Bombyx mori: one gene and its partners. The protein of the gene in region 3 binds, or shares a complex with, the protein of the main gene of each other region. Links are inferred from orthologs where the notes say so. Each region holds a gene or a part of one and is shown on either strand. Other genes may lie near its edges. The genes, in order: dynein regulatory complex subunit 3, dynein regulatory complex subunit 7, dynein regulatory complex subunit 4 and dynein regulatory complex protein 8.

What was found.
Region 1: dynein regulatory complex subunit 4 (region 3) and dynein regulatory complex subunit 3 share a complex: the UniProt entries of both Homo sapiens proteins name them as parts of the nexin-dynein regulatory complex. The link is inferred for Bombyx mori from reciprocal best matches to the Homo sapiens genes DRC4 and DRC3.
Region 2: dynein regulatory complex subunit 4 (region 3) and dynein regulatory complex subunit 7 share a complex: the UniProt entries of both Homo sapiens proteins name them as parts of the nexin-dynein regulatory complex. The link is inferred for Bombyx mori from reciprocal best matches to the Homo sapiens genes DRC4 and DRC7.
Region 4: dynein regulatory complex subunit 4 (region 3) and dynein regulatory complex protein 8 share a complex: the UniProt entries of both Homo sapiens proteins name them as parts of the nexin-dynein regulatory complex. The link is inferred for Bombyx mori from reciprocal best matches to the Homo sapiens genes DRC4 and DRC8.

Annotation. Positions count from the first base shown.
Region 1 is NC_085117.1:10,143,457-10,150,454, reverse strand, and holds the end of dynein regulatory complex subunit 3, read left to right. Parts: intron 1-22; coding exon 23-224; intron 225-591; coding exon 592-777; intron 778-1,435; coding exon 1,436-1,575; intron 1,576-3,444; coding exon 3,445-3,589; 3' UTR 3,590-3,688; downstream 3,689-6,998. Other genes in the region: enoyl-CoA delta isomerase 1, mitochondrial, read right to left, coding at 4,856-5,113, 5,922-6,134. UniProt on the Homo sapiens protein: Component of the nexin-dynein regulatory complex (N-DRC) a key regulator of ciliary/flagellar motility which maintains the alignment and integrity of the distal axoneme and regulates microtubule sliding in motile axonemes.
Region 2 is NC_085131.1:3,588,460-3,596,348, reverse strand, and holds part of dynein regulatory complex subunit 7, read left to right. Parts: intron 1-101; coding exon 102-263; intron 264-1,445; coding exon 1,446-1,631; intron 1,632-2,514; coding exon 2,515-2,725; intron 2,726-3,634; coding exon 3,635-3,782; intron 3,783-5,355; coding exon 5,356-5,465; intron 5,466-5,789; coding exon 5,790-5,937; intron 5,938-6,656; coding exon 6,657-6,930; intron 6,931-7,323; coding exon 7,324-7,545; intron 7,546-7,889. UniProt on the Homo sapiens protein: Component of the nexin-dynein regulatory complex (N-DRC) a key regulator of ciliary/flagellar motility which maintains the alignment and integrity of the distal axoneme and regulates microtubule sliding in motile axonemes.
Region 3 is NC_085113.1:2,416,368-2,424,834, reverse strand, and holds the start of dynein regulatory complex subunit 4, read left to right. Parts: upstream 1-4,232; 5' UTR 4,233-4,393; coding exon 4,394-4,396; intron 4,397-4,739; coding exon 4,740-4,779; intron 4,780-4,899; coding exon 4,900-5,592; intron 5,593-5,836; coding exon 5,837-6,024; intron 6,025-7,786; coding exon 7,787-8,017; intron 8,018-8,367; coding exon 8,368-8,467. Other genes in the region: uncharacterized protein LOC101744974, read right to left, coding at 28-120, 988-1,161, 2,872-3,114. UniProt on the Homo sapiens protein: Component of the nexin-dynein regulatory complex (N-DRC), a key regulator of ciliary/flagellar motility which maintains the alignment and integrity of the distal axoneme and regulates microtubule sliding in motile axonemes.
Region 4 is NC_085130.1:5,992,929-6,001,276, reverse strand, and holds the start of dynein regulatory complex protein 8, read right to left. Parts: upstream 4,991-8,348; 5' UTR 4,858-4,990; coding exon 4,833-4,857; intron 4,584-4,832; coding exon 4,470-4,583; intron 3,965-4,469; coding exon 3,841-3,964; intron 3,390-3,840; coding exon 3,263-3,389; intron 2,446-3,262; exon of another isoform or gene 2,207-2,445; coding exon 2,123-2,206; intron 123-2,122; exon of another isoform or gene 1-122. Other genes in the region: heterogeneous nuclear ribonucleoprotein U-like protein 1, read left to right, coding at 5,696-5,825. UniProt on the Homo sapiens protein: Component of the nexin-dynein regulatory complex (N-DRC), a key regulator of ciliary/flagellar motility which maintains the alignment and integrity of the distal axoneme and regulates microtubule sliding in motile axonemes.

The DNA of each region.
Region 1 (6,998 bases), on a different chromosome or scaffold from region 3:
TTGAAGATTATTTATTTAATAGGATCATTATTGAATACGAAAACAAAAAGAGGCCGCTTGTAAATGAAATGCAAGAATTCATAAACAGGTTCACGACGAAGCAAGCTACCATAGAGGAGCTTGAGCCGTTGATAGTTGACCTCGGCGAGACCTTCAATGAGGTCCTCTACCACCTGTGGAAGAGTCTCATGACCATAGAGATGCAGCTCTACGAGCAGTGTGAGGTATTTAATTTTATTTAGTATCTACCTAATAAAACCTAATACTTAGTAAATTTTTATAAAAACATCCTCTTTTAAATTAATTGATTCATAAAACATAAAATTAAGATGTCATTGTTAGAATTTAATATTAAATGGTATTTATTATTCTTCTGTACAATTTTTGTGATGAAAATATTATTGGGGTATAACAGGTTAAGTTTTCTCTAGCCTTCGTATTAAGGACTGGAGACATTGTGAGTTATCACGATGTATGTGACAAAACACTTTTCAGACTAAAGACGAAAGATATATACGTACATAATAAAGATACAGTATAGTATTTGCTAAGCCTAAGTTTTTTTTAGACAGCTTTATTTTCTAATCACAGGAATCTCGCGTACAATTTTCTGTTAACATAACGGAAATGGTAACGAAACTGTTGGAGGTATCTCGTAACGCATTCGGAGCGTGGCGCGAACAAGAGGGCGTCTGGTCTATGAGACAGTTCGAGGCGCTGTCAAAGCTCCTTGGGAATAAGCTCATCTTGGGAGACGTACCCCCAGAGTTATTTGAGGTTGATTCACATTTTTACACACAGTTGAGATCTTGGTTGCACTTTTTAAATTAAATCAAGGTTCTACATCGTGAAACGTTTTCAATGCTGAAGGTGAAATGTACCTACTATGCCATAAAGTGACCCGCAATGTAATGCAAATCTAGCTGGCACGCGCCGCCCTGTTACGATAAGACCGCCAATAAATTGTGTGATAGGTTTTTTTTGTAATTGCTTAAATGGGTAGATGAGCTTAGGGTCCACCTGGTGTTAAGTGGTTACCGGAGCCCATAAACGTCTACAACGTAAATACCGCTATCCACCTTAAGACACGAGTTCTAAGGTCTCAGTTTTTACAGTACAACGGCTGGCCCGCCCTTCGAACCGAAACGCATTACTGCTTCACGCCAGAAATAGTACTCAGAAGACGTCCTACCAGTAGTAAAAAACGTTACAAATATCGATATTATTAACAATAGTGTATTAGGAATCAGGAACTCAATCAAATTATGTTTTCGTTTTTGTTACAGTTTCCAATTCATCCTTGTTTAAACTTAAGATACATTTTCTCAACTTTTTTAAACTAATTCTTCTTCCTTAAGCAATTTAATCTTGTCAATTGTTGGTGTGTTGTTCAAATTTAAGTTCTCTGTTCCTTGATAAGTTTGTCGTGTTGCAGGTGATGATGGATCGAGATTTAATGATGAATTTAGTGGCTCAATCCTCGGATAACCACATGCGTTTTATTGATGGACGCGAGGATTTGCTCATGACCCGTGCCAACAACTGGCGAGATGAACTTGTACAAGGCACTAATGAGTGAGTATCGAACGATCCTTCCTTCACTATAAAAATACAATAAAAATAATTAATACATGTACCATTTTGATAAGGTGTAAAAGGAATAATATAGTCTGGGTGCTCATAAAATAAAATACATGCTCCGTTGTCAGATTAAGGAATAAATAAGTTTATCTATTTCTAATTTTAAGTCCCTAAGTAGGTACTATATAATAAAGAAAACATTGTCAATATGTATTTTTCCCTACATAAGCGCTCGTAGCCTAAGGGACTAATTTAGCTACGCGACAGAGAGCTACTCTTATCTTATCTATGCAGACTACACTAATAATAAACAGTTAAATCAAGTCATCGCGCTTAATAAGCAAGGTCAATGACCACTGCAACTTCTTTCACCGGCGTCTTTAGTCAGTACTGAGGTTTACCACTATTATTGAGATTTAGGTTTCGACATACTGCTATTCGTAAGGCTTTGGTACTCATATATAACAGTATTCGTTTTTCGAAACAGTTTTAAGTTTTATGTATTACATTTTTATAGACAGTAATTTATGCTAAATGCTTTTGTGTCTTCTGATTAATCAAATGAAATAATGTATTTTTATTTTTGCACGGTTTTATTAATAGGTATTTACCTACGAAATTGCCGTTATGTATACAGAAAGTTTTATTGTTGTCTACCGAGGAATTTCACCCGCTCAGTGGACGGATCCATCAATCTCTTTGTCGTTTAACCCCAAACTATCAATCTAAATATATACCCAAATCGGTACATCTCTACGAGTTCCTTGGTTATCTTTCAATGCTCTTCTTGAAGAAATCTGGTGTAAAGAAGTTAGGGGGCCAATAAACTCATCAAAGGCATTTTGTACTGCATATCGGGTATTCGATTTTTAGTACAAAGTCGTTATTCAAACTTTGAAAAAGTAGAAATCTGTCGGTGCAAGGTCTGGTAAGTACGGTAGATGACACAAAACTTCCAACCCTAGCTGTTATAGTTAAGAGACCGTCCTGTTGTGTCGCATGAGGGCGAGCGTTGCCGTGAAGGAGGTTCGCAATCTCTTCGTTTCGTTGTCTTTTAAGCAACGCAAGGCATACATTGGCGTACAGGCGTTATTGCGTTGGCGATCGTTAATAAAAAAAATTATTGCTTAGATGGGTGAACGAGCTCACAGCCCACCTGGTGTTAAGTGGTTACCGGAGCCCATAGACATCCACAACGCAAATGCGCCACCCACCCTGAGACATAAGTTCTAAGATCTCAGTATAGTTACAACGGCTGCCCCACTCAATAATCCAAAACGCATTACTTGCTTCACGGCAGAAATAGGCAGGGACTCACAAGTGGTCCTACCACCAGTAATTACGCAAATTATAATTTAGCGGGTTTGAATTTTATCACACGATGTTATTGCATATCGTGAGCATTTGTTTAGTACGTATTTCAATGGTTGACTTTAGTTTTCGGGTGACCACTGGGTGTATTTTTTAAAGTAAAATTTCCATGCTTGAATCGTTCAAAACAACGAGTGGTGTGTTAGTTCGTAGTGTTTACTACGGACACGTATTAATGTTGTGAGCCATTTGTTTGTGCGGCATCGTTACCGTGACGAAAGTCGTTTACCATAATTTCTCATGTTAATATCGTATCCATATTCATGAGAAATGTACAAACATAATGTTTTCACCGATCCAATAAACAAAGGACTGAATTTCAAAATGAAATTTATTCTGGATCTGGAATTTATTGCTTACTTATACAACATTAGGTACGTTTCAAATGGCCAGTATTCTAAAACGGAAACTTCATAGGTAAATACTTATTATTTGCACAATAATTTGAATATATAGCGTTCTATTACTTACAATTACGTGGTTATGTTTCAGTAACGAAGTAAAGCGTAATCGAGATCGTATATTAGAGATAAATTACTACATAGACAATCAAAGAGAGGAGTGGACTGATATGCAGATGGGACTTACTGAAATAGTAGACCCGGAGACGGTCGCCTTACTTGGTGATGACTTTTAAAAAACTAAGGACGAGGCCTGGTGGTATTGTTGTAGATATTTGTGTGGCAAATAGCATATTAATTATTCAATATTAATAAAACATTGTTTTGTTTTTTAATAGTTTTTTTTTTATAGTTGTGTTGGTGACGATCTCACTCTCCCCACCTGTGTGCTTAGTGCGAGTTTTTTAACGTTCTCGATAGCGTAAAAGTTAGTGTATATTTGTATGGAATGGGATCGTTTGCCGCTAGGGGCGCTGTTCCAGCTGCATACAAAATTGGGTTAACTTTTACGCTATCGAGAACGTTAAAAAACTCGCACTAAGCACTGGTCTAGATTTCCAGAACCCACAGACTACAGAGCGTGAGTGTTCACCTCGAAACGTGTGGTCAAAGTCTTCCACTATATTTCATAACGGTCTCACCCTTCAAACCTACTCCTAATTACTTCGCGGCAGAAATAAACTACGGGCCCACCATATGCCCTATCCTGGTGATAAGAGTTGGGAAGTTTAAGTTGATGATCAGAATGCGGTGGTATAATTAATGCTCAGAAAACGGTGCTACTCTTCAGTACAAAACAAATATAACTAATCTAATCTAGAAAACTTTTTATTGTTAAAATAATAGGAAGAGTCTATGGTCTGACCCAATGAAGTGGTACTACACTAGTAAGATGTAGTGAGTATTAAGGGTGATCCAATGACTTAAATTTTAGACATTTATTTCTATGTAAATAAACCATTTTACAGGGTATAGAAATACAAATATATATTTTTACGATTTAACAATCTTTATTGAAAACATAAATATTACATGTAAAACAAGAACAGTACAATGTAAATCATATCAAAAATTCAAAACAGTACATATTCTAATTATTTTCATATTGTACACGGTTTTGGCACAATTTGAAGTCTACTGAGTTGTGGGATCAACGTTCCATTTCAACGTCATACAATGGTTACTTGAGGTCATTTACAAAGTCAATGCTACATTTCATGCTTGGTGTCTCTATTATTGTAGTCTTATATTCACTTTTATATCTATGACAATTATTACAACACTAATTCTAAGTACTTATTAAATCAACATCATAGATAATATATTTTAGTGGTATAAAATTGTATTTATATAAATGACTAAAATATATAATACAAAATTCCTACTATTTACAAAATTTGTTAGAATGTTCAAAAATACTCAAAAGTAAATGAACAGTATTTTAATTATAAAATTTATAATTACAACATACATGTTTTATTTACATAATTGTGATTAGGCATTTATTTAGCAGATTTCTGTTTGAGAGCTTGAATGTAAAGTTCTAACGATTGTTGTACTTTCGGGTTCTGTACAAAAGTTAAAAACTCATCAGTGTCCTGTTTACGATTCTTGATGAGCCACGTCAAAGGTTCTGCCCTGATCTTTTGCTTGGTTAAAGCACGAGCTATAGGCGAGATTTTGTCGAATTTCTTTATAAACTTCTTGCATTTATCAACCGCATCAGCCTTGTCTGTAGCTAAAACGTCGATGAGTCCCACCTTAAAAAAATTTATCATGTGCGGTACATTCACAGTTTTTGTTAAAGTAAATATACTTTTAAAATAAATTTACATGGTTTGTCAATAAGACTAAATAATTTTTTTTTTTTTTATTGCCCTTGTAGGCAGACGATCATACGGCCCACCTGATGGTGAGTGGTTACCGTCGCCCATGGACTTCAGCAATGCCAGAGGCAGAGCCAAGCCGCTGCCTACTGCTTAATACTCTTCACAAGCCTCGTTTGAAGAAGGACATGTCATAGCGCTCGGGAAACACCGTGGAGGGGAGCTCATTCCATAGCCGGATGGTACGTGGCAAAAAAGACCTCTGGAAACGCACTGTGGATGACCGCAGTGGCTCTAGGTAGTATGGATGAACTCTACTCCGGTGGCGGGCGGTGCGATGGTAAAAACGAGATGCCGGTATCATCTCGAACAATTCCTCAGAGCACTCCCCATGGAACATAAATTTATATTTAATTTAATCCTTACTAAATAATCGTATTTTTTTAAATGAGGGCATTACTTGGATGCGTTTTCCTAACAAGCCACTGAAGCAACCCTAATGACTCAGAAGCACTCGAAATACCTCCTGTAAGGGATGCTGAACATTAATCACTCTCATATTAAATGCCAGGAGATATTTTCCAAGGCAAGATAATTTGATTTGATGTCTATGATAACCCTGCACTGATAATGTTAAACTTTTCAAAATAACTTCTTTGCACACATCTTCACTCACACCCCTTCATTTTTATAAAAGGAAGTTTACAAAATTAATTAATTATTATTTTATTATATTATTTACCTTCAATGCTTCATCAGTGTTGAACATTCTAGCTGTGGTGAGTGCATATTCAGCCTCTCTCTTAGATATAGTATTACACATAGTGTCCATAAACCACTTTGGAGCAACAATGCCCAATGCTGTTTCATTCAAACCAATGTTGTATTTCCCTGTGACCATAGCTCTGTATTCACAGGACATTGACAGGAGACATCCACCAGCAGGTGCATGACCCTGGAAATATGAAACTGCTGTTAACCCTTTGAGGTTCAGAGTCTACACATATTGAGACATATAGTTTAGACCGCAAAGGGTTAATTGTAGTGTTGACATTAATATATTGATTAATTATTATTATATAGTCTGTCACATCTATACTAATATTATAAAGAGGAAAGATTTGTTTGTTTGTTTGTTTCGAATAGGCTCCGAAACTACTGGACCGATTTGAAAAATTCTTTTTCCATTAGAAGCCGACATTGTCCCTGATGAACATAGGCTACTTTTTTTTATTTTTTTTTATTTTTTTTTTTTTGGTTTCATGTGTGTTTTAATGTTTCCGAAGCGAAGCGAGGGCGGGTCGCTAGTAAGATTAATAAAACATGAATATCATATAATTCAAACAAACAAACAGTGCTCTCTTCTGACTTTTAATTCTCGTCGAACCTTTACGCGAAACACTGCTCTTGCTAGGGTTAGTGTTAGCAACGTCGTCAAGTTTGAGCCCCGTGAGCTCACTTACTCGTTAGGGTTACGCTGAAATGGTCTCTCAGGGCACTCAGCTTAGGTAGGCAAAAAAAAATACTTTTAAGAATAAGATTATTACGTAAAATATTATGTAAAGTATTTATAGTTAAATGTTGAATTATTATACATATTTGGTTATAATATGTAATATGAAAATGAAACAAATTGAATTTGTTTGAAATTGTACAAGATAAATCGAACATAATAGATAGAAATGAAATGTTTTAGTGAATGGAAACTAAATTACTTTTTGGAAAAATCCCAGTGAATTGGTTTTATTCTCCTAACTTGCACTTTCACAAACGCTAAATAGTTAATAAGAAACCTATATAATATTGACAGACACTAAAT
Region 2 (7,889 bases), on a different chromosome or scaffold from region 3:
TACTGCTTCGCGGCAGAAATAGGCAGGGTGGTGGTACCTGCCCGTGCGGACTCACAAGAGGTCCTACCATCAGTGAACCTAACCTTCATTTATGTATCCAGAAAAAAGAAGAAATTCCACCACCTGACGAAGAGCCCAGATATCGCCTGGTGCCCCTACCGGATCTCACTTCTAAGTACTGCCGTGATATGGACAAGAAAGCCGATGATAAGAAACAAGCTGAACTGAACAAGACCGAGAAAGAGCGACTTCGTAAAATTGCTGTTAGCATCTTTATGCATATTTAATTTAAGGTCTCTTCAGAATCCACATAAAAATTTATAGAATAATTAAACAGATATGTACTTAACTGTGCTTACATCATTTTTAGTTGGAGTATAATCAGTATAATAATAATGTCCTATGTTATTTATAACATAAGATACCTGTTTTATAAGAAGTAATTATCTAGTACTAGCTGACCCGGCAGACTTCGTAGTGCCTCAATCGATAAATAAAAGACCTAAACTTTTGTATACAATAAACTTAAAACAAACAAAAGGAATCCGTCCGACGGGGGACGCATCAAAAGAAAAACAAAGTCGTTATTTTTATATAATTCCGAGAATTTTCATATTTATCTACCTTTTAAACCTTCTCTGGACTACCACAAATAATTCAAGACCAAAATTAGCCAAATCGAGTTCTCGAGTTTTAGCGAGACTAACGAACAGTAATTCATTTTTATATATATAGATGTATATGTATATAAATGTAGATTGGAGTATTTACTTAATCAAGTGTTCAGCCAAGCGGTCGAAATTCGTCCAGTAGCATCCACACCGCAATACTTAGAATCAATTTGTGTATTACTTTTTTTTGTTATTGTCATATAGTTCGACGTCGCTCTTGGCTCATAGCACCAGCGCATTAAGGGATGGGACAGTTACGAATGAGATTTAGACCTCATGGTCATCAAGCTGGATAGAAGCGTACAAGTTGTAGCGTTTGTCGGTGTAATTTGTTGGCGTTGGATGCTAAAGTTGTCGTAGCCTAAAGGATAAGACGCCCGGTGCATTCGTATCTAGCGATGCACCGGTGTTCGAATCCCGCAGGCGGGTACCAATTTTTCTAATAAAATACGTACTTAACAAATGTTCCACGATTGACTTCCACGTTGAAGGAATAGCATCGTATAATCAAAAAATCAAACCCGAAAAATTATAATTTGCCTATTTAGCGGTGGTAGGACCTGAGAGTCCGCATGGGTAGGTACCACCGCCCTGCCTATTTCTGCCGTGAAGCAGTAACGCGTTTCGGTTTGAAGGGTGGGGCAGCCGTTGTAACTTGCATTTACGTTGTAGATATCTATGGGCTCCAGTAACCAATTAACAACCAGGGGGAGCCTGTGGTCGTCCATCCATCAAAGCAATAAAATAATAATAATAATAATCGTTGGTTTTCAGGATTTGGAAAAAGCCCCGGCTGACGCTATTAACGGGTGGAGAACTCACGCCTGGGTCCTCGTGCTGCCGGGATACATGGGAATCGACGAACCTTTCTTCATAGAGCCGAGCGAAGGCGAAGGTCATCTCCTCGACTCAGAAAAATACCAATTCATAGACAGCGTGTACAATCACGAAAACTACTATGTGAGTTTCAACTGCAAATTTTATTGAAAACCGGCGAATTCCTGTGTCGAATTTCAACAAATTGATAGTATTTTTTAATCGGTCGATTAAAAAAGCTTTTAGGTTTAAATTAATCACGAGTACTATGTATAAATTATACGTAATGGAACATTAATTATAATAATTTTAATTATTGAGTTATTGTGTATTATATTTCTAGAACTAGGCAGTTTTAATTTTTATTAAGCCCTGGACACGCTTTTCTCTGACTCTTCTTCTTTATCTCCGCCTTATTGGGGTCGGCACAGAGAATTTTTCTATTCCATTCTCTTCTATCCACATCATTTCGGATCCTCCCGATCCACTAACGGTGCTTTTAGATACCCCAAGCATCGGTCACCGTCCTCGTCGAACCCGTCGCTTGCGACGAAGGGCTCGGCTAGTAAATTAACCCACAGACACAGCCCACTGAGTTTCTCGCCGGATCTTCTCAGTGGGTCGCGTTTCCGATCCGGTGGTAGATTCTGCGAAGCACGACTCTTGCTAGGGCTCGTGTTAGCAATATCGTCAGGTTTGAGCCCCGTGAGCTCACCTACTAGTTAAGGTTACGCTCATATGGTCTCTGTAGACCATCAGCTTAGGTATGAAAAAAAAGGCGTCATCTCAACACTCACTCCTCTCTCTCTCATCGTCATTCACACACTTCATCCCTGTCTTCTTCGTCAACCTCTTCCCCCTCTACCTTGCACTACCATTTCCATACATCTCCTAGTCACATGCATCACCTTTCTCTGACTATCGCTAAATAAATAAAATTATCAGTGAATTTGTTGGTACCACCTGTGTGGTGTTAAGAAATAAATAAAAGAGTACAACTACATACCTACCTACAACTTTTTTTAAGGCAAACGTCCAAAGCACAGACATTGGGTTGGACAGCCTGAATTATGATCTGAGCGACCTCTCAGCGTGGGAGCATCTTCTGGCCGGCGAGCCCCACCATCGGAGGCAGATGGTCGGCATTGACATCGCCGACAAGAAGACAGCTGTGCAAACAGAGAAGCATCTGGATATGCCAGTCAGCTGGGTTGAGAAACTGGAGATTAGTACTGATGGTAAAATTACGTTCGCAATTCTGAGTCGATTATTGTCTATTGTAAATCTGAAGCGAACGGGATATCCGTTACTTGGAATTTAGGGTGGTTGGCGACGTTAACTTGTAAGAGTCTTAGGCCCGGTTTGTGCTCTACGTAGCGCACTGAAGTAATTATGAGTCGACTATTATCAAAGCCAGCAATGTGACTTTTGGAAAATTATTGGTAAATCAGAAAAACGAATTATTGACTTTGTATTCCATTGGCAGTCACAAAACTCTTCTGAACGACATCTTAGATAAATAACAGCTTAAGTATTAACCTTTATTTAATGCAGTTTTTGAACCGTATTCTTTGAAGGAGACGATTATATTCAAATGAATCTGTATTGACATATCAATAAAAAAAATTTGTCCAAATGCACAGATTGCCACCTTTGATAATAGACGACTCTTATATCGATTTACTGTTGCTAACGCGACAGAATATCTAGTCGATACTGGGAAAGACGAACCCGAAGGTAATGAGAATGAATCTATGCGTAAGATACCTAAAAAACTAAAACATCGTGTATTTAAGTAGTAGGACCTCTTGTGAGTCCGCGCGGGTAGGTATTACCACCCCGACTATTTCTGCCGTGAAGCAGTAACGCGTATCGGTTTGAAGGGTGGGGCAGCCGTTGTAACTGTACTTGAGACCTTAGAACTCATATCTCAAAGTGCGTGGCGCATTAACGTTGTATATGTCCATGGGCTCCAGTAACCACTTAGCACCAGGTGGGCTCTGAGCTCGTCCACCCGTCTAAGACATAAAAAAAAGGACAATCCAAGCGCCTTAGTAACAGAAATCGACATAATTACTACTACGCCGCGTAGAGCACCGGTGACCTGCACGCTTCTCAAAGGATTAACAAAGCAATACCCTTATCAGAGTACGGTCAAAGATATCCGGGCAGCCACAAAGTGATACACTACAAGAAAGTTTTACTGGATAAGTTCTCGCCCTACTCCGAGAGGGATGGTGTAGTGAAGAGGATCAGAACGTTTGAGGACTACGCTTTGACCGTCCCGCTGATCACGTGAGTGCGTCTTCGACTTTACACAGTCCAGAAACGAGGCCTAATACGCCTCGTCACCACCGCTAAGAGAACCCTAGACTTCTCTGACGTGCGAAGGCTGTAGCTATGGAGAGGTAGAAGTAATGAGCACGCATCTTGTATAGGGAACCAGTTGAACATCTATCTATATCTAATATATAAAATTCTCGTGTCACAATGTTCGTTCCCATACTCCTCCAAAACCGCTTGACCGATTCTCGTGAAATTTTTTATGAATATTCAGTAAGCCTGAGAATCGGCTACTATCTATTTTTCATACCCCTAAGTGATTAGGGTTGTCCACCCCTAACATATTTTTTTTATTTGGACTTTTTTTTTTTATTGAGGTATTATGTGGTTGAATGAGGTTTTGTTATTTTTATTATATATTCCCTCATCGTTCACAACACTACATACCTCTTTCACTCATTTACCACATCCTTACACACTTACAATAAATTATTTTTTTTTTTTTCTACACTAGAAATTCCCTAGAAATCTTATATATTATGGCAAAACAATGTTTGCCGGGTCAGCTAGTATTATATAAAAATGAATTGCTGTTCGTTAGTCTCGCTAAAACTCGAGAACGGCCGGACCGATTTCCCTAATTTTGGTCTTGAAATATTTGTGGAAGTCCAGAGAAGGTTTAAAAGGTTGATAATTATGAAAATGCTCGGAATTATATAAAAACAAACAATTTTGTTTTTCCTTTGATATGTCCTCCGTCGAACGGATTCCTTTTGTTTGTTTTAAGTTTATTTTATACAAAAGTTTAAGTCTTTTATTTATCGATTGAGGCACTACGAAGTCTGCCGGGTCAGCTAGTCGTGTAATAAAAATCAAACTCGCAAAATTATTTGTGAGTCCGCACGGGTAGGTACCACCACCCTGGCTATTCCTGCCGTGAAGCAATAATGCGTTCCGGTTTGAAGGGTGGAGCAGCCGTTGTAAATATACGGAGACCTTAGAACTTATATCTCAAGGTGGGTGGCGGCATTTACGCTGTAGATGTCTGTAACACCTGGTGGGCTGTGAGAGTTCGTCCACCCATATAAGCAATAAAAAAAAAGTGTCCACCTGTAATCAGAAGGTTATTGTTTGAAGAATCACCGAAATAGCACCAGCGTAAGAAATGGAAATGATATGAATTTATTTAGTTTTAAACAGAGTGAACTGGGCTGGATTGAAATGAAGTGTGATAGCTTATGGCGGTGTTTTTAAAATCCTTCCACTAGCTACTGTGGCGCCCCCTTAATTGGCTCTCTTTCAGCGGACACTTTTTAATACACCAAAATGATGCTCCTTACTTCTACGCTCCATAGCTGTAAGATCAATTTGATTTAGGAAAGAGATAAACATACATCTAAGTTGTCCTATTAAAATACAATGAACGTGTTACTTACAAATATTCTACAGAGATAACGTTCTATGAAGCCGAAATTAGCCGATCGTTGCTTTCCAAATGTCGATGGGCAGCATTTATCGGCGGGCACTGTAGTTGTTTAAAATTCCAATTAAATTAAATTAATGCAGATAACGGAATGTTTTCTAGGTACGAGTGGTACAAGCATCGCGTCGACAAAATGGAAACCGTTCGAATAGATCACACGAAGCGTGAGATACGCGAGACGTTCGGTATCGGAAGGAGGGATCATTTACTCAGTAATTATTGTGTTTTTGGTTTCTTCAATACGCTTTTATTAGCTTGCTGTATTGATGGAGGAAAGCGGAATTGTCGTAACTCGAAAAAAAACAACTTTATACCAGAGCCATACGCCGGGTGGACGAGCTCACAGCCCACCTAGTGTTAAGTGGTTACAACGTAAATGCGCCACCCACCTTGGCTTGCTATCAAACGTAGGCAAACGTTCCAACTCCATACAAATTTGAGTTAACTTTTACGCTATCGAGAACGTTAAAAAACTCACCCTAAGCTCGTCTACCTACTAATCGTAAAGTTTTACTATGGAAAAAAATGTTCCACAGAGCACGTGTACTCCATGGACGCGCTGGTCGGCTCTGTGGAGGCAGTCAGGACCATGGAGTTCAATTACTACGCCCGACTTGACCACCTCACGAGGCTGGTCTGCACTACCCTTACATTCGATGAATATTATTCGAACAGAAGCGACAGGTACACTCTTAATGCTGTCCCAAATTTACGTTAGAATGCTTTTGGAGCTTGTCAGCACGATTTGAAGTCCAAGGGATATTTTGACCTCGTATTTTGAAGTAGGAAAAGTGATTGAAGTTTTGGTCTCATCGACTCCCGCAGCCACTAGATCAGACCGGCCGTTGTCTTTTCCTATCATCATTTACCTAATTATAGTATTTTTATCAGCGTTTAATTCAGCGTCAAAATTGATTTTTCAATAAGAACATTACATGAAGTCGTCGTGGCTTAACGAATAAGACCTCGGTGCATTCGTGTTGAGCGATGCACTGGTGTTCGAATCTCAGACGGGTACTAATTTTTCTAATGAAACTCAATGTACTCAACAAATGTTCACGATTGACTTCCACGATGAAGGAATAACATCGTGTAATAAAAATCAAACCCGCAAAATTATAATTTGCGTAGTTACTGGTGGTAGGACCTCTTGTGAGGCCGCGCGGGTGGGTATCACCACCCTGCCTATTTCTGCCGTGAAGCAGTAATGCGTTTCGGTTTAGAGGGTGGGGTAGCCGTGTGCATACTTGAGACCTTAGAACTTATATCCCAAGGTGGGTGGCGCATTTATGTTGTGGATGTCTATGAGCTCCGGTAATCCACTTAAATAATAAAAAATTAGACAAGTTTTAAAAGCGGTCCTTAAATCACTTTCGAATCCTTCATTCTCGGATTGTTCTCAGATTAGAATCAAGATTAGTAATATATACAGAAGGAACGAAAGAAACTAAACGTCAAATAAAGGACGTAACTGAGACGTACAGCAGAAACCATGAGATCCCATCAAAGCAAGACGTCTGGAAGAAGATCTTCCACCTCCAGGACAATACTATAGAACTGCTGTACCAATACGCGTACAATTACGTAACTAACAACACAAGGAGCTATATAAAACCTAACTTGGCTGAGACCGGCGGGAAAATCTTGTTCTATCCCGACAAAACCTCCGGGTATATCGTGAGTTGCGTTAAACAAACTTTTACGAAGAAAGAGAGAGAAAGGAAGAGAGAGAGGGGGGGAGGGGGAGGGTGGAAGAGAGAGAGAGGGGGAGGGGGAGGGTGGAAGAAAGAGAGAGGAGGAGGTAGAGGGTGAAAGAGAAAGTAAGAGAAAGAAAGAGAGAAAGAGAGAGAGAGAGAGAGAGAGAGAGGAGGAGGAAGAAGGTGGAAAAGAGAGAGAGGGAGAGAGTGTATTCTTTTTTGTACACAAAATTAATACAATAGAATCATAATAGTGTACAATCTTATAATTTCAATTAATTATAGTCGAATTTCGACTACCGGGGGACCACTAGTAGGTATTTGTAAATAATGTAATGCGATTCGCCGTGTACGCCAATTCGCGTAATTACAGGCCGACCCGAACGCTAAACAACCCCGCGACTTGGAAGTGTATTACGCCCTCTGCGAAAACATGGAATGGGAGCACGCGACCACGAAGCAGATACGCGACAGAGAGACCGACGTCAATGGATATCTGCGGCAGAGACACAAGGAGCTCACCGAACCGATGCTGGCCGTCGCGCTCTTCGATACCGAGAAGAACGAGGCCGCCAAGAAAGGCTGGAAGGAGCAGGTGAACAACTGTATCTTCTCTCCTCTTTGCGTCGATAATCCTCAGTGTTGAGGATCGTGGCCTTTTTGCTGCTTAGATGGGTGGACGAGCTCACAGCTCACCTGGTGTTAAGTGGTTACTGGAGCCCATGGACATCTACAACGTAAATGCGCCACCCACCTCGAGATATAAGTTCTAAGTCCTCGGTATAGTTACAACGGCTGCCCCACCCTTCAAACTGAAACGCATTACTGCTTCACGGCTGAAATAGGCAGGGTGGTGGTACCTACCCGTGCGGACTCACAAGAGGTCCTACCACCAGACCGTGTGTTGCTGGAATAGTTAGGCTACCAGCGATTAGCCAA
Region 3 (8,467 bases):
CAAAATCGAAAAACCCAACGAACTCACATCTATTATGGCCATGTGTAGTATTGGTACTTCTAGCTTCAAAGGCTTGATTTCTTGGGGTTCTTCGTCCAAGTAGGAAAAATCTGTAGGTATCTGTTCCAATGAAAGTTAATGCAGAATGTATATTGAGTATAAGTGCCCTTTTTATTTCACAAACGGGTGAATAATCTCACGGCTTTCCTCTTTTTAAATGGTTATCGAAGCCCATACACAAAACAACGTGTATTAGGTCACCCACGTTGAGAAGAGGCAGGTAGAAATAGGCAGGGCGATGGTTATCTACCGGTTAGGGCTCACATTGTGCTTTAACAACACTAATTATGCAAATAATAATTTGAGTGGGTTTCATTTGTATTATATTATCACACGATGTTAATCCTTTACTATTGGAAGTCATTCGTGAGCATTTGTAAAGTACGTATTTCAGTAAAAATATTGGTACCCGCCTGCGGGATTCGAACACTGGCACAGTCGCAGGAGTTCACCGGGCGTGTTATCATTTAGGCCACGACGACTTCCTAAATACTAGAGATGGATAATCAGGATGTACCAGTAACAGTTCATGAAAGATAAGATCTCTAACTCAAAAAGTAAACAAAACGAATACTTCTGACCTACTCCTTAAAAAACCACATAGCAATATCAATTTGCGGTCGACCAATAATAAAATATTTTTTATTTATTTATCTACCCATCTAAGTAGGGTGGACAGCTGACATGGTGTTAAGTGGTTACTGGAGCCCATAGACATCTACAACGTAAATGCACCACCCACCTTGAGATATAAGTTCTAAGATCTCAGTATAGCTGCAACGGCTGCCCCACCCTTCAAACCGAAACGCATTACTGCCTCACGCCAGAAATAGGCAGGGCGGTGGTACCTACCCGTGCGGACTCACAAGACGCCCTACCACCAGTACCTCGTTCTCATAACTACTTTTAATTCAAATTGAACATTACTAAGCGTGATACTGAATCGAGGGGATATTTTCGTGAGGTCATTAAAGGCGCCGATACCCTCCGCAGTCGCCATTTCTCTAGAAACTCGTTTGTCTGACGTATGGCCTCTTTGCTCTCATTCAGTAACTCATCTATACGATCTTTGGCTCGATACTTTTTGTACTTGTTTAAGAACTGAAACGTAACAAGGAAAATATTAAGGTACACACACACACACAACCTAAAATATATTCCTGAGTAAAAATTCGTCAATCTATATTACTTTATGTTAGTCTATTTCGAGGGGTGAAGGACTATGTGGTTCAAGCGACATTTCGCTTGACACGTGACATTTATCTATGTTATCAAAGGTCCGTTTTATTTAGTACTAGCGACCCGCCCTCGCTTCGCTTCGGAAACTTTAAATGTTATTATTGGTAGCCGAGTCCCGCGATGTTACCCGCGGTTATTGTCGTGCCGCGGGTGACGCCGCATGTTAAAGCTAGTCTAAAAAAAGGAGCCTAAGTTACTCCATATATCATCAGCTACCTATTAGTGAAAGTCTCATCAAAACCGGTCCAGCCGTTTCAGAGATTAGCGGGAACAAACAGACAAAAATTGTAAAAAATGTTATTTTAGTGTATGCACCGTATAAATATTTATATGCATGTAGTAAAAAGCGGTTATTTCAATAATACAAACAGACATTCTAATTTTATTTATATGCATAGATTAGGATCAATAATTCAATGTTTTTAATCTAACAAATCGAATTGGATTCAAATAGCTGAAAGAAGCATTTTTCATGGTATTTTTTCCAACTTTTAAACTTTAAATGGCTCTCCGGTAAATATTCAAAAATGTCGCTTAAACCGAATAGCCTTTCACCTCTCGATTTTTTTATTGTATCATAAATAAGGGCTATACGTTAATGATAACGTTTCTTTGTCAACAACAGGTAGAGATACAGTTGATCAGAATTCACACATTGATCAGTAATTCACAGATTTTTCTGGTTAATTATTGTGTGGTATTAACTAGGAATGGAACTACCACGTTTCTTCTCGGGGTGCCGTAAAAAGATACTAATGCTTTCCCCTGTGAATGCTCAGCTGCATTCTCAGAGTATCACTCCGACATACCGCGATGGCCGACGGGTATTTTCTGGTCTTTTAGCGTATTGTAAGCCTCTAAGACTTATCCCGACAGGTTGACAATACGACCTGACTTTATAATATTATATTGCTCGATATACTCCTAAACAACACTAACTTTAATCTGAACTGTATGGCCGTTGGTTTTAAGGTGCCAATTACGACAATACTTTGTCGTGGCCGCTGGAAACTACATACCCGACCCTGTAGACCGAATGGTAAACCGTCGACGTCGCCCAAAGCACGTCATTACGGATCCTCCTGATCCATTAACGGTGCTTTTAGGCACCACAAGCACCGGTCACCGTCCCCGTCTAACCCGTCGCTTGCGACGAAGGGCTCGACGAACGAATTCACCCATAGACAGCCCACTGAGTTTCTCACCGGATCTTCTCAGTGGGTCGCGTTTCCGATCCGGTGGTAGATTCTGCGAAGCACTGCTCTTGCTAGGGTCAGTGTTAGCAACTCTCCGGTTGAGCCCCGTGAGCTCACCTACACACGCTAGGGTAAGCTGACATAGCCTCTCAAGGCTATCAGCATAGGTAGGGGAAAAAAAAGACATACCGCGATGGCCGACGGGTATTTTCGGGTCTTTTAGCGTATTGTAAGCCTCTGAGGACTTATTCTTACAGGTTTTCAATACGACCTGAATTTACATTAATATATTGCTCGATATACTTCTAAACAACACTAACTTTAATTTGAACTGTATGGCCGTTGGTTTTAAGATGCCAAATTCGACAATACTCACGGCAATAGTCAATGACAAAACCAGTATTTCGATGAATATGACCGGAATGCTAATCGGATTCTCCTTGCCAACCAATTGCGTTTTTTTCGCCTCCTCTCGCAATGTTTTCTTCACGAAACAAGCTATCTTGCAGAATATCGTTTGGAACATATCAACGAAACCATTGCCTAACAAATAATCGACCAGGAATAAACTTAAAAAGACGAAAGTGTACATCAAAGTGCTCAACGTTTGTACCAGCATTTTGATTTGGCGAACGGAAAATTTTAAAATTTTGTTACTTTCACATACTATAGCGTGCGGCACGTCGAATTTGTCAGTGTAAAAGTGGTGTAAAATGAAATTAAGTCAAATCATGACATCTTTGACAGGTGTCAACGTGATTGCTTATTTTGAAATGTAAATAGAACACGGCTTGCCTTTTCACGCCGATTTTTTTTTTGTGGCTTGGGTTTGTGAACGAACTCAAGACCTACCTGGTGTTAAGTGGATGTCACCCCTTCAAAATGGAAAGCATTACTGTTTCACGGCAGATATAGGCAAGCTCTTTACAAAACGCCCGATATACTTGATTATGATAATAGCTTTTAATTTTTGTCTCTTGTTCTTTCTAAACACTGAAGCGATTAGACCCATTTTCAATGGCAGATAACTCAGGGATAGGATTCTGTGCAAAAAAACCTACAAAATCTTTAACAAATCGAATTGAAAATTAAGTATTAGTGCTATCACACAGAGTCGCATACAAGCGCTATAAGTAAGAAAAACCAATGCTGAGTTTGCTTGTTTAAACTTGATTCAGAGTTAGACAGTGACCTGGCTGTGCTCTGGGCATTAGTAATGTCCATGGGTGATAGTAACCACTCGCCTTCAACTGGGCCGTTATTCGACTAAATCAGATAAAACATTTACTTTAAACTTTTTAACGTGACAACGTCTTATAAATTCGATGGAGCCGGCTGCACGCACGAAAAAACATGACTCATTGAGGCGTTCCATTTAAGGCTTGAAGTGCAAGCGAGAGCGCGCAACGAGCGACAAAGAGGCAAAATCGGCTTCCGCGTTCAACAGCGTTCGACATCTGTCTCTCTCCTACTTGAGTGAGCGATGCGCCCGCGTGGACAGCTGCTATACAATAATACATTTTCATGTTTTCGTCAAGTATGAAGTTCAGTGAAAAGTGACTGTTGTGTCAATTGTCCATACAAAATATCTATCAAACAAAATAAAATTAAAATTTTCTTTTGAAAAATGAAACCATTCCATCAGTTTTTTCTTATGACGTTGTCACGTTCAACTGACCGACTTTACAGACAACCGATTTTATATTTAGCTTATAACACGTTAACTAATGATATAGTATATATATAGCCCGTATTGTAATAGAAAAATATTGTCGTAGAAACCGTTGCTATGACAACTGCTTTGTTTAATCACAATCCATGACAACGATGTGTCTTCCTTATTTGTTGTCAAATTCAGTTTAACTATCACACTACTTAAATATTAATAAATAAACAAAATGGTAAGTTGATTCTTTATTTAAATAGTCTGGATCCCTTCAAAACTGTGGCATAGTCTTTATTTACTTTTTGGAATCAAATCCTGGGTTAGATCTGGGTAGTGACCATTTCGGGTTTGACCGGCCATAAGTAGGGAAGGGCCACCAGATAAGCTGCTACTCTTTGTTTTTTATAAGAAATAATACCGGTGTTAAAATGACTACCACACCCGCTGATTGCAAAATGAATTTATATATAAATTGACTTTATTAGCTAGTGAGTATGCTCCATTATTAACTTCACCTACATTATGTTCTGAGGAAGCATTCTAATGAGTATTTAACAATGTTTTATAATATTTTTCAGCCGCCCAAAGGAGGAAAAGGCGGTGCTAAGAAGGCGGCAGGTAAAACTTAATTGTCTAATAAGTTTAAATGCAATATGACATTAGCCCTACTGTAATGTATTCATTATTAATACTCCGACTCATTTAAATTTAAAACTTAAAATATATGTATTGTTTCAGCCATCGTTATTGATGGAGTCGACACTTCTGAAATGACAAGAGAGAAACTAGAACAATTCACTCTTAGAGTGAAAGAAGAATTAGACAAAGAAAGGGAAGAACGCAACTACTTTCAGTTAGAAAGAGACAAGATCCGAACATTCTGGGAAATTACTAGACAACAACTAGAAGAAGCTAAAGCTGAACTTCGTAACCGAGAGAGAGCTACAGAAGAAGCACAAGAAGAAAATGAAGCGCTTCTTGAAACGGAGAAACAGAAGATAAAACATCTAAAGTACGAACAGCAAGCTGCTGCAGCCGCTTTGAGGGCGGAAAATCTCGTGGCTTTAAAAGCTGCTAAAGAAGAACACGCTGAACAAGAACTCGAGCTTTTGAATGACAAAAGAGCACTAAGACAAGAAATGAGAGAGAAAGCACTAGCTGCTCAAGACGAACTGCGGAGAGCTAAATTAATGCATGCCGAAGACCTCTCTAAGACGAGGGCAGAATTTGAAGAAAAAGCAAGACAAATAGAAGAAAAAGCTGAAAAGAAGCTTCAAGAAACTAAGGTAGAGTTGACAGTTAAACATCGAACCGAAATAGCTGAAGTTGAAGAGAGAAAGAATAAACAGCTGTCTGAATTGATAGCCCATCACGAAAGAGCTTTTGCCGACTTAAAGAACTACTACAACGATATCACTTTGAACAATTTGGGTAAGAGCTTAAATTTTACGATTTTATTATCTTTTAGCGCAGTTTCAAAATGTAACTTCAATAATATATACTTCAATATTTTTAAAAGAATTGTAATTGTTAACGATACTATCGTTTGCTAAAAGTTTTCCAGGAAAAGATTCCTCTTTGATTATGAAAAAAAAATCTTAAAAATATTGTGATATAAATTTGCAGACCCAAAATAAATATCCAATTTTAATGTTAAATTGCTCTTTATCTAAAGGCTTAATCAGTAGCCTCAAGCAACAGATGGAAGATATGCAGAAAGTTAAAGAACGCGCCGAGAAGATCGCGAGAGATGCAGTAGCAGAAGCGAAAGGTCTTCGAGAGCCTTTAGAAGCAGCCATCATCGACAACAAGGAACTGAAACGGCAAATGTCAAACTATGATAGGGACAAAGCTGCTTTAGCTGTGAGTATTAGTAGCCTAGTGTTAAGCTAGTGTTAAGTGGTTACCGGAGCCCACGGAATAGATAAATAAGGTTGGAATGGTAATGTAGGCGGGGCAAGCGTGCCACTGTTATGATCGAACAAACATAACTCGACCGATTCTTTCATTCACCGCGTTTAGTGCGCTTCGGAATATTTGGGCGAACAGATCTCCGCTTTATAGTGCCGTGTTGTGCAATTATAACTTGTAAAACAAAAAATCAGACCTCAAGTATAGAGCGAGGAGGTATATCTTTCGATCGGTAAGTCGAAATTACCATTTAATTACAATATTATTTGTCTAAAACATAAAAATATACTGAGCATTATGAAATTCCAAACATTAACAATATTATTGCAGCAAGTTATAAATAGCATACATTGCGCGATGTGTACTCGCCCAATGAACGCAATGACCAAGTCAGCTTCCAATGTACTACATGCATTGCGTTCTCTACACTTCAATCTTTGAAATTTCGGCCTTTGCCCTGATTGGCCGTGGTGCACGGCGCTAGTTTGTCGATAGTGAGGTGACCATGTGGTGAAATAAAATCATCGACAGAATTCTCGACTATATTTACATTTGACATGGATATTTTTTGCATTATTTTATATTTAATTAATGATACCTAGTATATTCTTAGTGAGACGTATTTTGAGTAAAATAAATATGTATTATTATTATTGAATTATTATCATTGAATTAAAGTGAAGGTATAATATAAAGGGACATGTAGACCTCTCATTTACGGGTATTTACTATATTGTCTAAGACGTATTAAAATCTAAATAAAATGCCATTTGACTTATGCAGTAAATAAAAAATTTTAGGTTTCCTAAAGAACCTAACGCCAGGGAACAATGGATTGACGTGACAGGTAGAGGAAACTGGAGACAAAGACGAGTACTATTTGCTCTAAACATTTTACTGAAAATGATTTTACCATAAAAAAAATCATAATACACTTAGTTCTGAAAAATTCATTCGCAATTAATAGCAAGCGCCAACTGCTTAACAAATACGTTTTATTCCAGCGACAGTGACTATTTGTAATTAATAAAAGTAAAATAGTTTTTTTTTTTCAATATTTATTTCATGTTTCATTTTCTCCATTCATTCATCAGATAATTTATCGATAAAGAATATCGATTTTACCAAGCACTAGCGTGTATGAACATTTTTATTGCCTTTTTGCGTGTGTGAGTGTGTATGCCTACGGGTGTTTTGTGCTAATTGCGAACGAATATCTGTCCTGAGATTTATGTGTGGGTGTTTTTGTTGTGTGCGAAATACTTGTAATCACAGTGTGTGTATGTGTAGAAATTAAAATAGTGGGGATGAAGCGGCGACACTGGTTCTAATACAAAATTAGAGCAAAGGCCTTTCCAACCTTATTTATCTATTCCGTACCGGAGCCCATAGACATCTATAAAGTAAATACCGCCACCCACCTTCATAATAAGTTCTAAGGTCTCAGTATAGTTACAAAGGCTGCCCCACCCTTCAAACCGAAACGCATTACTACTTCACGGCAGAAATAGGCGGGGTGGTGGTACCTACCCGTGCGGACTCACAAGAGGTCCTACCACCAGTAATTACGCAACTTATAATTTTGCGGGTTTCATTTTTATTACACGATGTTATTCCTTCACCGTGGAAGTCAATCGTGAACATTTACAGTTAAGTACATAATATATAATGCCGTCATCCACCTTATTAAATCAATAACTATATTAAAATACAGGCAAAAACGAAACAGCTAGCAACCCTAGAGAAACAGTTCGAAGTCTTGAAATGGGAATACGAAGTGCTACAAATACGCTTCGACAGAGTGCTAGCTGAAAGAGACGAGCTGAAGGCTAGATTTTCGAGGGCCGTACTAGAAGTACAACAGAGGGCTTCGTTGAAAACGGCCCTACTGGAAACCAAGTTGAAAAATATGGAAGCAAGAGATTTAGGACCGAGAGAATTGCATGTGAGTTAATATTTTTATTACCGATAAATGAATCCGGCTGTTTCGCCCCTCTTCCTTTTTTTTTCCTACCTACGCTGATGGTCTTGAGAGACCATTTCAGCGTAGCCTTAACAAGTAAGTGAGCTAACGGTACTCAAACCTGACGACGTTGCTAGCACTATCCCTAGCAAGAGCCGTGCTACGCAGAATCTACCACCGGATCGGAAACACGACCTTAACACTTAAAACCAGGTGGGCTGTGAGCTCGTCCACTTATGTATGCGCTAAATAAAAAAAGACTTCCTCTTAACAGTAGTAACTTTTTCATGGGTTTTACATTGTACTCACTTAGTATTAATTAATTTAAAAAGGAACTGCTCAAACTCAAAGACACCCAAGTAGAAGATCTTCGGTATGAAGCCGCACGACTTCGGAAGGCGCATGATGATCTACTCGCGACTTACGAAGCGA
Region 4 (8,348 bases), on a different chromosome or scaffold from region 3:
AACGTATCTACCTCTTTTTACTATAACATCATTGTTCATTGTTCCTTGTGATTGCGAGTTTATCACGATAAATAGCTGTTTGTTTAGTTACTGGTGGTAAGGCGTCTTCTGAGTCGACGCGGGTAGGTACCACCATCCTACATAATATCTGCTGCGAAGCAGTAATTCGTTCATATTTGAAGTGTAAGAGAACGGTTACAAATTAATGAACCGAAATATTAAATTAGACTTTCATGTCTCAAGGCTGTGTGGCGGTATTCAAAAAGTGACGTCTATGTATTTCAATGTGCTTAGTGCGAGTTTTCTTACGTTCTCGATGGCGTAAAAGTTAACTCAAATTTGTATGTAGTTGGAACAGCGTCCCTAGAGGCAAACGTAAGCAAACGTTCAAACTCCATACAAATTTGAGTTAACTTTTACGCTATCGAGAACGTTAAAGAACTCGCAAATTAAGCACACATCAGCTGCGTTATAACAGGTAGGCCGTGAGTTTGTTCAGACATCTATTAATTAAGAATATAAAAATTATATAAAATCGTGCTCAACAAATTAATACTATGTTCTGTATCTTACTTATACTGCTTCATTACCCACTGATCTCTGTTATACTTGCTAAACAAAGGACGACTGTCCACCACAAGCTATGAGCTATGCTATATTTAGCGAAATCACAATTCGTCGGGCGCTACGATAACTCGCGTTTATCACTAAAATCTATATGTTAGTGTTCATTGAAGCAGAGCTTTGCAATTCAATTCTGTAGAATAAAACATTACTCGAATCACAATATAGTGCAATGACGCTTTTGATAAATACACTGCAGTCATTAAGATAGAATCTGTTTACAAAAACTAAACAAACCTTATTTTATTCATGCACATTACATTGGCAAACTTAGTGCCCAAAACATTTTCTACTAATCGACCAAGGATGATATAGAAAACCTACTACACCTACTACAGGTGCATTAATTAAAACGAAAACAGATGCTTTTCTATTATACTATACAATATACCAGGGATGGCTAACCGGTAGCGGTAGGCGGCGGGTTGACTCTGCCCCTGACATTTCTGAAGTCCATGGGCAACGACAACCACTCACCATCAGGTGGGCCGTATGCTCGTCTCCCTACAAGGGTAATAAAAAAAAGATCGCAATCGACCGGTCGATCTTGGCTATTAATTCAGTCGATCGTCATTATCATCTTCTTCATCATTCTTTCCTATTACCCTCTGCTGGGGTGTAGGGCTCGAATCAAATTTTTCCATTTACATCGATCGTGGCAAGACAAAAAAATATAAATACATAGAACAGACTGCGCAACGTAATCACCAATTGCTGCACGCATCATCTTCATCTTGTATCATTAAATGATAATTGTATCATTGAAAGATACATTTTTTGTAAATGACAATTACCTCACATTATTTATTCTCTCTTCCACGCAATAGTTCTCTTTTATTGTATAATTTCAACTTTATGTTAATCTTTTCAATAAAAGAAAATATACTACTTATTTGTATACTGAACTGCATTGTTTCATAAATTTCAAGAAATGTCATTGGTAGATCGTAGTGCTTATGTAGTGCTTCGACAGTAAACAGTTGATCTTGATTCTAATCAAGTTGGCCACCCCAGCAATATACTAACTGTGCATATTATACCAGCAGATAATATAAAATAAATCCATATCTATACTAATATTATAAAGCTGAAGAGTTTGTTTGTTTGAACGCGCTAATCTCAAGAACTACTGGTCCGATTTAAAAAATTATTTCAGTGTTAGATAACCCATTTGAATCCTACAGGAAGGCTATAGGCTATATAACATCACGGTAAGACCAATACAAGTGGAGCACCAATAAAGAATGTTTCAAAATAGGGGTTTAAATAGCTCCATAACATTCTATAATTCAAAAATATTTTCACTTTCTACGTAAATGAAGTGGGGGTAAAATTTAGCGTTATGCCAAAGTAACTATTCCACGTGGACGGAGTCGCAGGTAAAAGCTAGTTATATATAAAATCAACAAATTAAAATAGATACATAGAATATTATAAATCTTAAACTTTATAAGATAAACTAAAATATAAACAAAACAACAAAATAGAATGCGCTCACCATAAGTTGGTTGATGTAATATTCGTACATTATTGTATCTGTTACAGGATCTAACGCTGTTTGCATCATTTCATCGTACTCCTCCTGTATCATGAAAAAAATGAGAGCCATAAGAATACTCGTTGAAATTTAACCGAGTCAATTCATATCCATATACAACAGTATAGTATTTGTTAGCATAACATATAACACGGTATTATTTTATAATAACTAATGTTATGGATTATTGTTGTATAGTGTTAGGATTATTAATTATAAAAAATAATGTTATATTATAATACGATTCGGTATAAATAAAAATTCTATCGAAGTACGAATTGAAACTGTGTTATCTCTTAGAACACTTAAAACACTTCACAAACACGAGAGACTATTTCAGTTTCGCCCTAACATGAAGGTTCACGGGGCCCAAGCCTGAGTGTTGCTAACACTGGCCCTAGCAAGAGCAGCGCTTCGCAGAATCTACCACCGGATCGGGAACGCGACCCACTGAGAAGATTCGGCGAGAAACTTAGTTCGGCGAGGACTGTGACCGGTGCTTGTGGTACCTAAAAGCACCGTTAATGGATCGGGAGGATCCGTAATGACGTGTTTTGGGTGACGTCGACAGCATCTCTGCAACGCTTATAAAGTCGATACGACATCCCTAGAATCGTCGAGAACATTCCTCACAAGTCGAGCACTTTCAATGCGTGCTTCCGCTACCTGACAATAGATGGCGTTGTACTTTTCGAGCGTTCTAGATGTTGCTATCATTTGGTATTCGTTTCGGCTGTTCAGCGATAGATGGCGTTACTCTTACCGGCGTAACAATATATTATACGACATAAAGTGAAGGCAGCCGGAAAACGAATTGTTTTATTTAAAACTAGCTGACCCGGCAGACTTCGTAGTACCCCAATCGATAAATAAAAGACCGACAGGGGACACATCAAAGGAAAAACAAAATTGTTATTTTTATTAAATTCCGTGCATTTTCATATCTATCTATCTTTTAAATCTTCGCTCGACTTCCACAAATAATTCAAGACCAAAATTAGCCAAATCGGTTCAGCCGTTCTCGAGTTTTAGCGAGACTGATTAACAACAATTCATTTTTATATATATAGATATAGATAATAATAAGAAATTTTAAGGTACCTGCGTAAATGACTCTCCTTCTTCCATCATAAGCTTGGCGAACCTCTCTTTAGTGAGGTACCCACGTCCCTCCGTGTCAAAATATCTGAATGCAGCCAACAGCATTTCAGCGCTCGCCGGATAAAACCTGTCCCATTAATAAATAAAATACCTGACATAATGAACATTTTATGGAAAATTAAATTAAAAAATTCACGTACGAAAGGTAGAAAGCTAACATCAAAATCTACTTATCTCGGTGATCAATGGCGTAATTGGCTTTGTCAAAAATTCCAACGTTTCCATAAGCTACAATTTAATGGCATAAGCACCACATGATGCTTAGGCTAAAGTATAAGTGTAGGTAATTTATTTCGTAGTAAACGCAATACAGTGAAATCCAATTGTTCTTTGTCAATTTTTGATATTAGCATAGTCGGCCGCGTTTTAATTAGAAACAAAAACCTTAGCCACAGCAACGTGTGGCCGGGTCTGCCAGTATTATATTAAAAAGAAGATATGAAAAATAACAACGAAGATTGAGCCACACTGTCAAAATTTTAAAATTGTTTAACCTTTTTAATTTTAATATTACAAACCTATGTTCTATCATGACTTTACACATGTAAGGTAAAAAGTTCGTTAACGGAACGTTTCCAGTTGCTTCTTTGTTTTCCGTTGCTAAAATCACCTCTTGTATCTCGGCTTCAGTTGGACAGCAACCTTTAAAAAACATATATTTAACGTCTCTTTTGCTATATTCAAAATTTACCATGTAAACAGTCTATTTAGTACTCAAACAGTTATCCGCTTAGAAGTTTCCAAAACAAAAAACGGCCTAAGGGTCCGTTCACACAGACCGGCTCGGAGAGGAGAGCACCTTCATTCCGACTATTCCTCCTAAATAATTTGTAGCGACTCGAAGACGTGAATAATCACTGTCATACTAAAATTGAGATATCTATTATCCTAAAAGGGTGAAAAATTGGAGCACGGAAAGCAAAATGATGACTTTTTTCATGCGTAATTACGTTGTAAACACGGCTATTGTATTCTTACGATATTTAGTATGATTTCGCGATACTTCGGCACTGTTCCAAGCGCCATCGGCTACTCGTGGTGACTCGTGTCTTTTAATTTACCGTGAGAGTCAGAATTTTTTAAATACTCTTTATTACACTAGTAAAGTATTAAAACATTTAACGAAAACCAGAAAAAAAAGCATTACCCAAAGATCGAAGAATTGTTCCTATTTCCCTTACATCTACGACTTGCTTCCCAGAATGGTCAAATACTTCGAAAGCTTCAATTATTTTTTTCTCCAAATCATTGTTTGGTTGAACTAGAAAGATACATTTAAGGTATATGAGATATACCAATATATGACATATATCAGATATTATACCAGACGTAATATCTATTTACCAATAAAAATGTTTGGTTTTGTTTAAATTTCAACTAATAAATGTATTTATGTATGTATTCATTTATAATAAAATTTAATGAGTGATACTAAATTACACAGTATTTACATCGCTCGTTTATAAATTATTAAATGTATATAAAGTAAATCTTTCAAATAATAACTAACTTTTAGGTTCCTCTTTTCTTGCCATAATGAACTAATAGTTTAATTATAAGATTTGTAACACTAATAAGTACACGTATTAAATTGAAAAAAATATTCCGTAACCAGGCAACACAACCTATCAGTTATCACTAGTGTCATCGACGAAGCTTTAGTTCTATTTTGCACCAGAGCTGCTGTAAGTTAGTATGTATATATGTGACGGATGCTTTGAACATGATTTTGACCCCCTTCAAAACGTAGACTGAAATCAAAATTTGACATAGGTACTTATCAAGGACCGTTGACAATGCAATATTTTAAACAGTTAGACCTATTATCCATAAATTAGTTTTTTTTAGGATTAGCTCCCAGTTTTAACAGCTCCTCCACAATATTGACAAAGCTTAATTCAACCAATGTACAAATTAATAGCTTATTGTTGACATGTTGATGTTTAATTGTCGTACCACATTCAAAAAATATTAGTTAAAAAAAAATATATACTTTAAAAAACACAAAAATATGCTTTTATAGAAAATCAAATAGAAAATAAATTCATTGTAAAAACAATCCAATCTATACTGATTAAACAGCAGGCTTCCAGACTTTTGAGTAGTATGGATAAGAAACCCTTGGCCTTTTGAATTTTACAACAAATAGCTTATTCCAAAAAATTCTGGAATCGCCAATCCCCACCATAGATAATATACCGCCATTTCCTTCCGTTATGCTGATGCGCCGCTAAATCGCCATTTTGGATTTAGTTGGCGCTTTTTCTGTCGTGAATTTTCGTTCAGATAGTAATAGAATTAATATTATTTAAGCACATGTGTTTTAAAAACTTTAAAGTGTTGTGAAGTGGATACTATCAGACGATTAATACAATGGATCCTGCTAAAATGAAGGTGGTGGACTTGAGGTCCGAGTTGGGTGCTCTCGGGTTAGATACGAAGGGAAACAAGCCGGCTTTGGTAGAAAGATTGAAAAAAGCACTCGAAGCGAAAACTGGAACAGGTTAGGATTTCAGATGTAATTATTTAATGCGTAATGTACAGTTTTTTAGTAATGTTGCTGAAATTGTTGTTAGGGACTTTTTTAATTACTGCACGTGTACATTTGTCGATCAATCATGGATCATTGTTGCACTGTTGTTTCCACTTTAAGAGATTTAGTGTGATTCTTAGTAACTTTAACTTCCGTAGTAACCATACATCAGTTTGCTGTCCCATTTAGAGATTTGCAAACACACCTATTTTAATATCTGACGCCAAAATCAAGGTTACGACTTTATTCACACTCAAGCATGAGATAAAATCGCATAAAAATCTAATAATTTATTAAATATTAATGTACAGCATCATTAAGTTTTCGAAGTATTTTATATGTTTTTACTGATACAACGACGCATATCAGTTATTGCAGTTATTCCAACTGAACAGTTCAAATCGTAATCGGTTTGAAAACTTCGACATCGATATCAATTTATGTATACACTGTTTTATGGGAAATTCATTCATATGATTATTCTTAGGCTTAATAATAGGTAAGAAGAGCTCGATTCTGCAAAGTAAAATAAAACGAAATTCAATCAAATCAGTTAAAAGCTTTTTTTGCACAAAATGTATACGTCTTTTTGCTTCTAATGTCCAGATATAGTATTTTTAGGTATAGAAGTAACTTTAAGGATACAACCTTGATTAATTAATGTTTTCCTCTAAGGTCTTCAACGAAATTATTAACTACTGTTATTTTATTTAAATTTGCTATCAGATAATATGTTGATTAGTATGAAATATTAAGACTAATATTTTCCAGAATTGTTGAAAAAAGCATGGGTAGCAAATTAATTTATTCATCACAGTCTTATAGATAACAAAGATAATATACAGAGATGGTTTTTAAAATAATAATTAAGTACCTAATCTACTAAATAAAAATAAATACCATACTTTGTTTATGATCTGTGTTTTAAAAGCAATGTTTATCATTAAATTGATGAAGATTACAATGGTCATATTACTGTCAACCTTATCTAAAATAGGTTGCATGCAATATGTTACAAACACAGAAAACTTATTATTAAATAATAAAATTAAGTAAGTTTGTTTCAACTTTATTTTGTCTGTGGTGGATGCTTAGTATTGCAACAGATATTATAGAGTTCAATAAAAAATTATGGAGAGAAAAAAACAAAAAAGTCTGAAATCACACTGTGGATGCAGAGAGAATTGAATGCATAAGTGGTATATGATATTTCAGGGAAATGAGCAGGACCCTAGTGCGACTTGTACCGGTGCTTTGCAAAACAAGTCTTTGTTCAGGTGCGAAATAATGCTTCATTCTGTTGAGGATTCCCAAATTTTACAAAGCAAAAAATGTCATGTAGTATTTCAATTACAATTAATATTTATTATCAGACTATAATAGAGTAGGTAATACCTAGAACATTGTTAATGAATGCAATGTTCGATTATTGTGAACATTTTAAAATTGTTAGTTAATATATAAAACATTTTCAACAACAACATAAAAACATTATTGAAGAAGTAATTTTTTATTTTAATTCCTTTAAAACACTAACAGAGTTAATATAAGAAAATCAACCATTAGAACTGGCCAGAGTGCTTAGTGTAAGTTTTTGAACTTCTCAATCATGTAAAAGTCAACTCAATTTTGTATGGGGTTGAAACAGCGCCCCTTTGTTTCTCGCTAAACGCATCAATTATGCGACTGAACAATTACAGCCCTTATGGAAAGTAGTTTTGTAGAACATACAATACTGTATTTAGGATAGTATATAGTATATATAGGGTTAAAATAATTTATTAAACTATTAATTTAATATCATAAAAAGAATGTATGTACTAAAAAAATTCATCTAAATTATGAAATTAGAGATTAAGAGAAAACAAGCAATGTAGTGATTAATTCACATGCAAAACTACTTCAAATGAAAACAACAGTGTTTTAAATCATTTTGTTCAAAGTAATCACTATGGTTGTCTTTACCATTTTTGTAAATAGTAATGAATGCATAAATAAATAAAATAAAAGGTTGAGTGCTGTTTGTGTAAACAGTAAAAAAATGTTATTTATTAAATTTCAACAAGCATATAATAATTTATGTACATCCATAATAAATAATTATACAGAATAAATTTCTTGTACATTTAGATTACATCATGCTTTATAGCTTGTTACCATCTGTACTACAAAAAATATTGTCACTGTATTTAAAAAGATAGTTAAAAAAAATTTGAGTTTTGAATAATTATTTTCCTTATGATTAATGCCAGAATGCTCTATATGCTTAAACTATTTGAAGACTAAATTAAGAATATTGATAAGGGATACACCTTAATCAATTTTTATTAATTTGGCTTAACACCCTAAATACACTTCGATAAAGCGGCACGACACGAGAACCCTCTCATCGTGGCCGCCGGTAACTACATTCCCGATCCTGCGGACAGAATCGAAAGCAGTCGACGTCGCCCAAAACACGTCATCTCGGATCCTCCCGATCCACTAACGGTG